3 linked regions of the Saccharomyces cerevisiae S288C genome follow. The gene in region 3 interacts genetically with the main gene of each other region. Each region holds a gene or a part of one and is shown on either strand. Other genes may lie near its edges.

What was found.
Region 1: mutations in MCY1 (region 3) and MEK1 together harm fitness more than expected from each alone (negative genetic interaction), as found in Saccharomyces cerevisiae (3 studies listed by BioGRID).
Region 2: mutations in MCY1 (region 3) and CBP4 together harm fitness more than expected from each alone (negative genetic interaction), as found in Saccharomyces cerevisiae (2 studies listed by BioGRID).

Annotation. Positions count from the first base shown.
Region 1 is NC_001147.6:994,446-998,122, forward strand, and holds MEK1 (serine/threonine protein kinase MEK1), read right to left. Parts: upstream 2,067-3,677; coding exon 573-2,066; downstream 1-572. Other genes in the region: MNE1 (Mne1p), read right to left, coding at 1-410; TFIIH complex subunit TFB6, read left to right, coding at 2,768-3,677. UniProt on the Saccharomyces cerevisiae protein: Probable protein kinase required for meiotic recombination.
Region 2 is NC_001139.9:845,321-848,070, forward strand, and holds CBP4 (Cbp4p), read right to left. Parts: upstream 1,086-2,750; coding exon 573-1,085; downstream 1-572. Other genes in the region: YGR174W-A (uncharacterized protein), read left to right, coding at 1,335-1,421; ERG1 (squalene monooxygenase), read right to left, coding at 1,613-2,750.
Region 3 is NC_001139.9:511,372-514,912, reverse strand, and holds MCY1 (putative cysteine synthase), read right to left. Parts: upstream 1,755-3,541; coding exon 573-1,754; downstream 1-572. Other genes in the region: SNU71 (Snu71p), read right to left, coding at 1-359; nicotinamide-nucleotide adenylyltransferase NMA2, read right to left, coding at 2,181-3,368. UniProt on the Saccharomyces cerevisiae protein: Putative cysteine synthase that catalyzes the conversion of O-acetyl-L-serine (OAS) into cysteine, the last step in the cysteine biosynthesis pathway. However, this CS-like protein is unlikely to function in cysteine biosynthesis.

The DNA.
Region 1 (3,677 bases), on a different chromosome or scaffold from region 3:
AGCATATTAGATAGCTCATGATAAAATTCCAAAGGCAGCCGATCAGGTGGGAATGCATCAATCTGTCGGCCACTTTTATTTAGCCATTTTATGTGACCTGTGCCAATACGATTCAACAACGCAAAATACAAAGCAGGATTATCGGATGTACGAAGCTTCTGTAGAGTAGTCAGTACCACATTTAATCGTAAATTTACATTTTGGAGCTTATCTTCATTCAGTTTATCTTTTCTTGTTAGCGCATCCTTCAACCATTTATCAGTTATTGAGTTAGTTCTTTTGTTATTTGGTAAACGTTTATGCGATGATGGCTGTCGCCCTAGCTGTGGTAGTATTTCAGGAGTGATTAAAGAGTCCTTAATCAGCTTACCAATATGACTAGACGAATATCTTTTAAAAAGTAACTTCATATTCTTCTTGGCACACTACTATCATTTTTTCTCGCCGTTTCTAGTAGAAAAGGGCAACTTTTACTTAAAAATCATACAATTGACTTACTTTTTTTTTTTTACACAGATACCTTTTTATTTTGAACTACGCGCAGTTTGAAAGAGGAAGAGATAATCCTATGATTACTCCAAAACCTTCTTCTTTTTCGGTATTGCCTGAGAAATGATAACACTTTTGGGTAACTTCCTTTTCCAGTCTGAATTTATACTTTCTAGTTTAGGGCCTTCGTTATTGCACAATATCTTTTTGTAATATAATCTCTCTAATTGACTTAAGTGTTTTGCAATCCAAATATGTTTGAGACCTTGCTTACTATTTAATCGTTTAACTACGTCAGTTTGCAAAAGGTCTTTGACAAAACTCTTGGCATTATCTGAAACAATATCCCACTGCTTCAGTTTGAAATTCAGCTTCCCAATTTTTGCATTTTGAATAATACTCCTCTCAGAACCATCTCCATAAAAAGGCGAGATCCCTGTTAACATAATGTGTGTAATGACACCCAAAGACCAAAGATCACATTTACTGTCATAACCTCGTTGCTCTAACGTAGCTGCTCTTGAGAAGCTTTGATATGCTTTTCTGTTTGCTCTGAATCCAACTTCTGGAGCGCAGTATTCCGGAGTGCCTACGACAGTATGCATTCTTTCTTTGTTGGAATTTAAATCTTTAGCTATACCAAAGTCTGCCAAGACGATTCTAGTGCACGGTTCTGGCGTACATAACAAAATATTGTCTAGTTTCAAATCGCGGTGAACAATGTCTTGATCATGAAGGTAGTTTAAAGCTTGCAAAATTTGAAAGACGATCAATAGCGATTCAGTTTCTGACATGGAAGTTAGACAGTCGCCTTTAGCTAGGTAAGAAAACAAATCACCACCAGGGATAAGATCCTGGAATATGTAAAGGTGATTGTTCCTGTCACAGAAAGTATGGTAGACTTTGATAATATTTGGGTGATCCAGTCTCAAAAGGATTCGAGCCTCTTTATCGAATTTATTTGGTTTTAGTTTAATGATCTTCACAGCATAATTTTCAGGGTGATAACAGACATCTTCATCACGTTCTTTTGAGTTATGCGTGATCAGAACATGACCGAAAGTGCCATTACCCACTATTCTATTTGTTATTTCCCATTGGTCTACTTCCCTCAGAAAACCCATTTGATCTAAAAGTTTTGGGTCCAGAGAAGATTGTAAATCATCATTAATCATAAAAACTAGTCGTGTTTTTTTAATGTCATTTTCTTCACTTCCCTGCGATAATTCAATAACGTCGCAATGTTTTAAAAGATACGTTTTGTCCCTTTTCAAAAGCAAACCGTTCAAATACGTTCCATTAAGAGAACAATCTTTAACGTAGAACATTGGAATACTATCCTCATCAAAAAAGACACACCAAAACACGCAATGAACAGAGGAGATAGAGGGATTCGTTAGAACGAGTTGACATTCCTTATCATTTCTCCCAACTTTCACGAGCTGATGCTTTACTATAGGTATTGTCTGCTCTGTATTATAGCCGCCTACATTAACTTCCAGGTGAGCAGGAGCTACGCCACCTGCCATCTCAATATCATCTTTGGTTGCAAGGTTGCAGCTATACAACGGTCTCATTCCGCTCTTCTTCTTTCTGTTGTATATTTGGTCCTTAATAAAATTTGAAACGTACAAGAGCACTCCAGAAGGAGCTCAAGTAAAAAATTAGTCAAACCTCTCCCTTTTATACTTGAATGAATGAAATAGCCGCCGAAATTTAGCCGCCATCATTCTTCTTTTCCCCGGCTAAATTACCACGGTATGCTTTATGATTGGAAAATACCCATAAAGTAGGAATAAACTACAAATGATTCCACTTAATGAAAGATAAGCAGACAAATATACTGCATATAAGTGAAAAATAGTGAGGAGATCGCTATCAGTCAATATTGTGAAGGACCTACCTACTCTTTTTCTAGATATATATTTTTTATTTGCACAGGACCCCTCTTGCATAATTGTTCCTACTAATACGGTAGGTAGCACACAATTTTACACCACTTGCTTTACAATCATACCTCATAGGGCCTTCTTATTCTGATAATGCCCCTTTTAGAATGGCTAAACTGCTTACGTCCCGCTTTCTTACGCACTGCGCGCAACATGCAGGAAGAACAAACAACCTCGCCCTGTTTCCATAATGAAGGTCCTTGAAATAGAAGCCCCACAAAAGGGTGGAAATGTGGCAGAATAAACAGTAAGCTAACTGTTGTAGAGACTCCAAGCCCTGGTAAGGAAAGAAATATTATAAAAATAAAAGATTTCAACACAGTATTTTGATGTCTGAGCCAAACACACCATTACATGCTCAACCGAATGAGCAACTGGACTTGAACAACTTAAATGATCTAGATGAAAAAGACATTGATGATTTAAACTTGGATCCAAACTCAGATGTAGAAATTAGTGCAGACTCAGGTGATGTCGTAAATTCTAACATAGACAACGTTATATGGCAGCGTAATTGTAATAAGAAAAGAAGATATCATACACCAGAATTCAATGATGTTTACAATGAAACTAACAACACAATCAACGACGTAACTATGCTCGATGATGTTGACGATTTCCAGCCTAGAATAAACGTGTCTTCTCCCTTTTCGTCTGCCACAAAGCTGAGTGAATTATTGCCAAATGATCACAATGGAACGTCACACCCGAGAAGATTGTCAATGTCTCAACAATCCAAATTCATCTCTTACGTTGATGATCAGCTTTTACAAATTCAAAGAAAATTTGTTCAATCCAGGGGCCTGAATATCAAAAACGGCTATGCCAGTCTTACTCCGCTGCTGCAGGATTTAAAAACTTTAGTTGACTTCGTTTGGTATTCTATTGCCCATGTTCCAAACTCAGACTATTTACTTCAATCAGAAGAAAAGAGACATTGCCCAGATTCCCGAAACCCAAAAGATACATGCGGATATTCTAGTTATTTTGGTCAAGGGTCCTATTTAATAAAAATTGCGGACGATCTCATCGATTACGTTGAAAAATTTACATTCAAAAATATGGAAGACTCAGAGATTAATGACACTTTATCCAAATTATTCAAACTCTTCTTCATCCTTGACAGGATATTTGTAATTCTAACTGATGATAATGATAATTGCAAAGAAGTCCCTAAAACGTCTTCAGCCAGCAAGAACATAGCAGGATTGAATGGGACTGATATTGTGAGGTTAAAAG
Region 2 (2,750 bases), 330 kb from region 3:
TCATCCTAAACGTTCATAAAACACATATGAAACAACCTTACAGCAAAACGAACAGAATGAGCAACATGAAAATAAAACTCTGCCTTCCTTAGCTAACCTACTCTAACGTATAAGTATCTGAACAATTGGTTTAGATCCAAGATTCCGCGCTTCCACCATTTAGTATGATCCATATTTTATATAATATATAGGATAAGTAAGATCCCGTGAATCAAGCTGATAAACCGTTTTGACAACTGGTTACTTCCCTAAGACTGTTTATATTAGGATTGTCAAGAACCTTGACATTACCCCATTGCATGATGCAATAATCTCATATAAATAACAAGCGCAAGTGGTTTAGTGGTAAAATCCAACGTTGCCATCGTTGGGCCCCCGGTTCGATTCCGGGCTTGCGCAATGTTTTTTCCATCCCCAAGTATGGGAACTAAAATAGCTAAAAATAAGTATGAAGTTATATTTTTAAACCTATTTACAGTGTACAAATAAATAATATATCATAAATGACACAGACGTATGTTTTAGGATGCAAAAGTTCAAGCTGCCCTTCCTAATTGAGTGACCCGACCCATCTACCAGAAGCGCCACCAGCTTTTAACCTGCTTATCCTGGACTATTTCCTTTGTTTTCTCCTCCGTTTCAGATCTTAGCTGAGACAGTTCATTTCTGATCCTAGCCAACTCTTCTTTTTGCACCTCCTCCGCCCTCACCTTAGCAAAGTGATCTCTGCTTTGAACGTTATCACCGTTCCTTTCCCAAGGTGATTGAAGGGGGCCCGTCTTCCAAATTGGATCGTCACTTTGAGAAGTTTCCTTAACAATTTTCATCAAAGCCTGCTGCTCCGACTGACGTAGTTTTTTCTCCCTCTCATATTGTAAACGTAATTCTGGGGAAAGCTGGCTGATTAACTGTTGATCTGTTGGCGTTGTGTACTTGAAAAGCAGAAACCCGCTTCCAATAATAGCGCCACCAATTGCATAGACTTTCAACCAACGTACCCACAATGGTCTTTCCATACCCAAATAATGCTTATACTGTCTTTGTTTTGCTATTACTGCCTCTCTAGGAGTTATCGCGCACTGCATGTATATAAAATTTTATCTTGATAAAATACCCCGGGGGATGAGCAAAAAAAGGGATATGGGGAATGAAAAGTGAGATAAACTAGCAATAATCTATTCTAATAAGTAGAACATTCACAAAGACTACTATGGTGTAATTCTGAAAGGATTTACGAGAGCACAAATACTATTATGTATAATTCTGACTGCAGAATCCGGCAAGCTTGATTTAATATCACTTAAGGAAGTAATATCGTTAATTGATAACCGAATATGAATCTCAATGCATATTTTGAAGCATATCAAGCCATTTTTCCTTTTCTGTTGGAGGCATTTTTAAGGAAAGAACAAAAAGTATAAAACACTTCGGTTAATAATAAATGATATGTGAATTTTTTTGAAAATATGTAAAATAAATAAGTAATAAATAAAAATAAGATGTGTTTATCGTAATGTACTATACAAGCCTTCCAAGCCGACTTCTGTAATAAAAAAAAAAGGTGCAGCTTAATGTTTGACGGTTCCTATCCTCTCTCCCTTATAAGCTGTAGTTAACCAATCAACTCACCAAACAAAAATGGGGTGAATACTCTAATAGCTGTGATCAAAATCATAATACCTTCCAATAAAGCCATTGGTAATCCCAAGAAACCACGTTCTTCCATGTTCAAGTAAATGGTGTAAAAAGCGACAGCGAAGAAAACCCTGGTCAATTGCAAAGGCTTTGGCAAGACACCAGACAGAAATTCAACGGGTTTGTTGACACAATCGCCACCTCTTTGGAAATATTTGAAACAACCTTTTTGTAATGCCTTCAAGTTATCGCTGTCAGCAGCGAACAAAGAATACAAAGCCACTGACAAAACGTTAATAACGGAATCGTAACTCTTTCTTTCGAAATGGTAGTCTAGTAATTCATCCAAAACCTTTTCACGGTCGCTGAAGTCTAGGTCACCTATTTTCTTAATCAACAAGACAACATCATGCAAACCGACAGTCATACCACCACCAGTCAATGGATGTCTCATATTTAGAGCGTCACCGATAACACACATACCAGTGACGTCGTTTTGTCTAGCTGGCAAGTAGGAGTTTGGCATAGCTCTAAATTTACCTTGGCTGACGGCTTCATCAAATGAAGGACGTAGACTCTTTGGAATGAAAGGTTGGACATCCTTAATCATCCAACTCTTGATATCAGCTGGGACCTTTGGAGAGTTGTAAGCACAAAGGATTCTTGTTTCTTCTGGACTGATTTGGTAAACCAAGATTGGCATATGATCACTACCAAGAATAACGTGACCGTGCATAGGAGCAGGATTCTTAGCATTGAACAAAGACATACCGACAAACGAAGAACCGACAGTTGGAACATGGTCTGGGTGCAATTCCTTTCTGAAACGTGAAAAGATACCGTCACAGATAAATGTCAAGTGGGCTTTGAATTCCACCTTGCCACGGCCATCAATGTCAACCTTGGCACCAACAACCTCATTCTTTTCATCCTTCAATATCTCAATACAGTTACCTTGCACTCTAGTAACATTTGGCTCTTGAGCAGTAATGTTTCTCAAGTTGTTCAAGAATCTACCATGAACAAAAGCAACACCCCTTTCTCTTTCATCATCTTCGTAATCCTTGATGTGAATAGTGCTGTCTTCCAAGACCTTGTCATTACCATCTTTGACC
Region 3 (3,541 bases):
TGTAAAGATACTGTATGAATCTGTTGGTCTAAGGAAATGGGAAGAAATTGTTTGAGCTCTTGGTAACGGGAAGAGCTTGTGGCGCACTTGTTAGCACTATTGTTATCTGCTATTGAAGCCTCTTTGTCTTTATTCAAACCAGTATTCTGGTCAGAATTGTGTATACTCCCATCATCGTTGCTATTTAGCAGTGTCTCTGATAAGCTGTTTCTGGCGTCAACTATATGTTTTAATGAGTCCTGAAAACGTTGTAGATCATTTTTGAGGATAGGGATGAACCCACTTTTGGCAGAATCACTTTTCCAACCCTCCTGTGATGACAAATACAGCTGCGGTGATACAAATACAATATCCCTCATGTTCTGTAAATCGACGTACTCTTAAGGAACTTTTATGAGCTTGATTTTGGTCCTGGTCTGTTTTTGTTCTTGATCTATCTAATTACTTTTGCACTTTTTAGCGGGCATCATTACCACGGAAAGTAGCAAAAAATGTAGCAGCGAAAACTGCTTTTTTATATTTGTTCCTACAATTTAATAGAAGATAACTCAGTACTGATTTATACATCTATGTTAGATATTTATTACTTCTTCTAATGACACGTCGTGATCGATTTCTTTAGCTTCTTTCCAGAATTTACTTAGGTGTCTTGAACCGCTGTCGCATGCAATAATCACAATGTTTGAGCCGTGAGGAAGCGTTTTTGCAACCTGAATAGCGGCTACCGCATTAATAGCTGTACTACTCCCCACGAATAGCCCGTCGTTTACCGATAGGTATTTTGCCATTCTAATGGCTTGATTATCGTTGACTCGTATTGATTCATCAATAAACTTTTCGCCCATATGAAAATTATGAGTGATTCTGTTTAACCCAATCCCTTCTACGATAGTGTCAACTTGATGCCTTCTTCTAGTACCTTCCTTCTCTACATAGTCATACATCACGCCATAGTTGACTCTATTATAAAAGCCAGATCCTTGTGGATCCGCTAGAACGACATGGCAAGGTATCTTTGCTCTTTCCTTTAAGAATTTTGCCACACCAGTTATGGTGCCACCAGTACCGCAGCCAGCAATGAATGCGTCAATATTTCCCTTAGTTTGATGGGCAATTTCTGGGCCTGTGGTCTGGTAATGTACTTTCCAGTTGGCTTCGTTTTCGAACTGATCGGCAAAAACTGCTCTTATTCCATTACCACTCTTCTTTAGTTCATTACATGCCTTTTTGGCGGCATTTACGTATTGGTTTGGATCGACAATACTAGCGGGCTTAACCTTATTAACAGTAGCACCGAGGCTTTCTAGTAATGCCAATTTTTCTAGCGATGTGTCATCGGGCAAAGAAATGTGTGCCCTATAACCCAACGCATTACAGACCACTGCTATAGAGATACCAGTCGACCCACTTGTTCCTTCAAATACCCAGCCAGGTTCACCTCTGACGAGCTCGCCTAATTCCTCAGCCGTCTTTATGATGTTTAAAGCCACTCTATCCTTAGCACTTCCTGCTGGGTTGCATAACTCCAACTTAGCGTAAATGTTAACTCCAGTAGCCTTGGTAAGAGATCTGATCTTAACCAGAGGAGTGTTTCCTATGAGTTCTTCAACGCCTTCTTTTGGACGTGGAATATCGCGTGTTTTGAACAGCTTATAGTATTTGTATGATGCATACGCGCCAATTAGGACGGAAGCGATGGATATGCATTCACGCCAGGCCAGACTGACAGAAGTCTTATTTTGAGAACAGGACATAAAGGATGTTTTGGTATATTCCGATTGATAGGGCTATTATGCAGTATTATACGGCATTGTTACTTCAAATATTACAAGACTTTTAAGTTACTATAGACGTGCAAAATTCAATATAGATCATTACCCGCATTAATAGTAACGCGAGTAGATCAAGTATCTTCGGATTCTGTATTTTATAAGCTAATTTTGCTGATTTACGTATACGATTCACTGGAATGTTTGTCTGAAAGGTTTTCCTTATGAAACTTACCGCTGGTGTGGTTATATTATAATTATTAAGTGTTAAAATAAATGTTTGACATTGTTCACATGATTGTTGCTCTGCTGTAAACATTTTAAATCGTGCATCCAGGAACTTTTTTTCTATGCACCTTGAAGAGGAAAGTGGTAAATTTGAACTGCTGCAGTATCAGAGTTGTAATAAACTCACTCTTTGCTATCCAAGACCTGCTTGACCGGTTCACTTTGATTAATGTATAGATTATACTCTTGGATGTAACGGATGACAGAGTTTGGAAGAAGATATTGAACTGACATTCCACGTCTGATGAAAAGCCGCACTTTCGTAGAGGAAATATCATTGTAAATAAGTTGTTTGATAATAAGGATATTTCTTCTGTGTTCATACATGATATCATGGGAAAGCAAGAAGGACCTAACATCAGAACCAGTCCTTTCCACGATCAAACATCCATAATTACCCAAAATATGGTGCAGGTCTGAATCAGCCCACACATGAGGCTCGCCCATGGATTCGATAAGATCACCGCCTGCCAATAACATGATTTTTACGCCCATTTTTTCACCATCTACAGTCATGATTCCACCTCTCTTGATATTTATTTCATGATTGAAATGGTCCAAGACTTTTGCTGTCCTTGTATAACTTGATTGTAAAGATTCCCAGGCATCAACCATTAACCAAGATGATGTCCGCTCGCATGCTAATTCGCACATGCGGACACGATGATAAGCTGGGGCTAACCCTCGCTTTTGATAGTTATCACTTACTGGAGAAAAATAACCACCAACCACTTCAAAACGCGTTTGCTCATTGATATCATCTAAAGCCATTTCAAACATTCTCAAATGTAGGTATGTTATGGGAGAAAATGATCCACAAGCAACGATGATCAGAGGCAGTTTTTCAGGATCTTGTAACTTTTTCGTCAATCTGTGTACAGGAAATTCGTAATCTTCAATAGTTCTGGCTTGTCTTACAATTGTGTGAGGAACTTCTTCCAAATCAGCAATTTGGCTCTTCAGTACCCCCAAATTCCCAGTCATCGTAACATCCTGTAGAGTAGCGTCAATTCCATTCGATTGCCCTTCACTTTCCTCCTCCGATGATACATCCCGAGATAGTGGCTGGAAGTCACTAGTATTTAATGGAATATGGTCCATTCGGTTGCTTGAGTTGGCGTTTTTTTTCCTTGACGACAGGGTTTTGTAAATGTCGAGATTGAAAGGAGCATCGATCGAAGAATTATAATCAGCTAAAACATATGGAACTATGGGTCCAGATTTTGGTATCGTATGTGTTGGATCTGGCGGTGGTTGTAGTTCTTCATTTGGCTGTGGCGGTTTAAAATCGGGTGCTTTGGTGGGATCCATTACGTAATAAGTGCACTTTTTCTTGCCTTCTCCACTTTAAACTCTCTCTCTCTCTCTACTTAACAGTGGAGGAACAGTGACTAAGGTAGAGTATGATTGTACTATAACTTACAGTCTACTGTCGTCACGCTGGGTCAATTTACATTGTTATTTTTCTTGGAGACGACACCGTC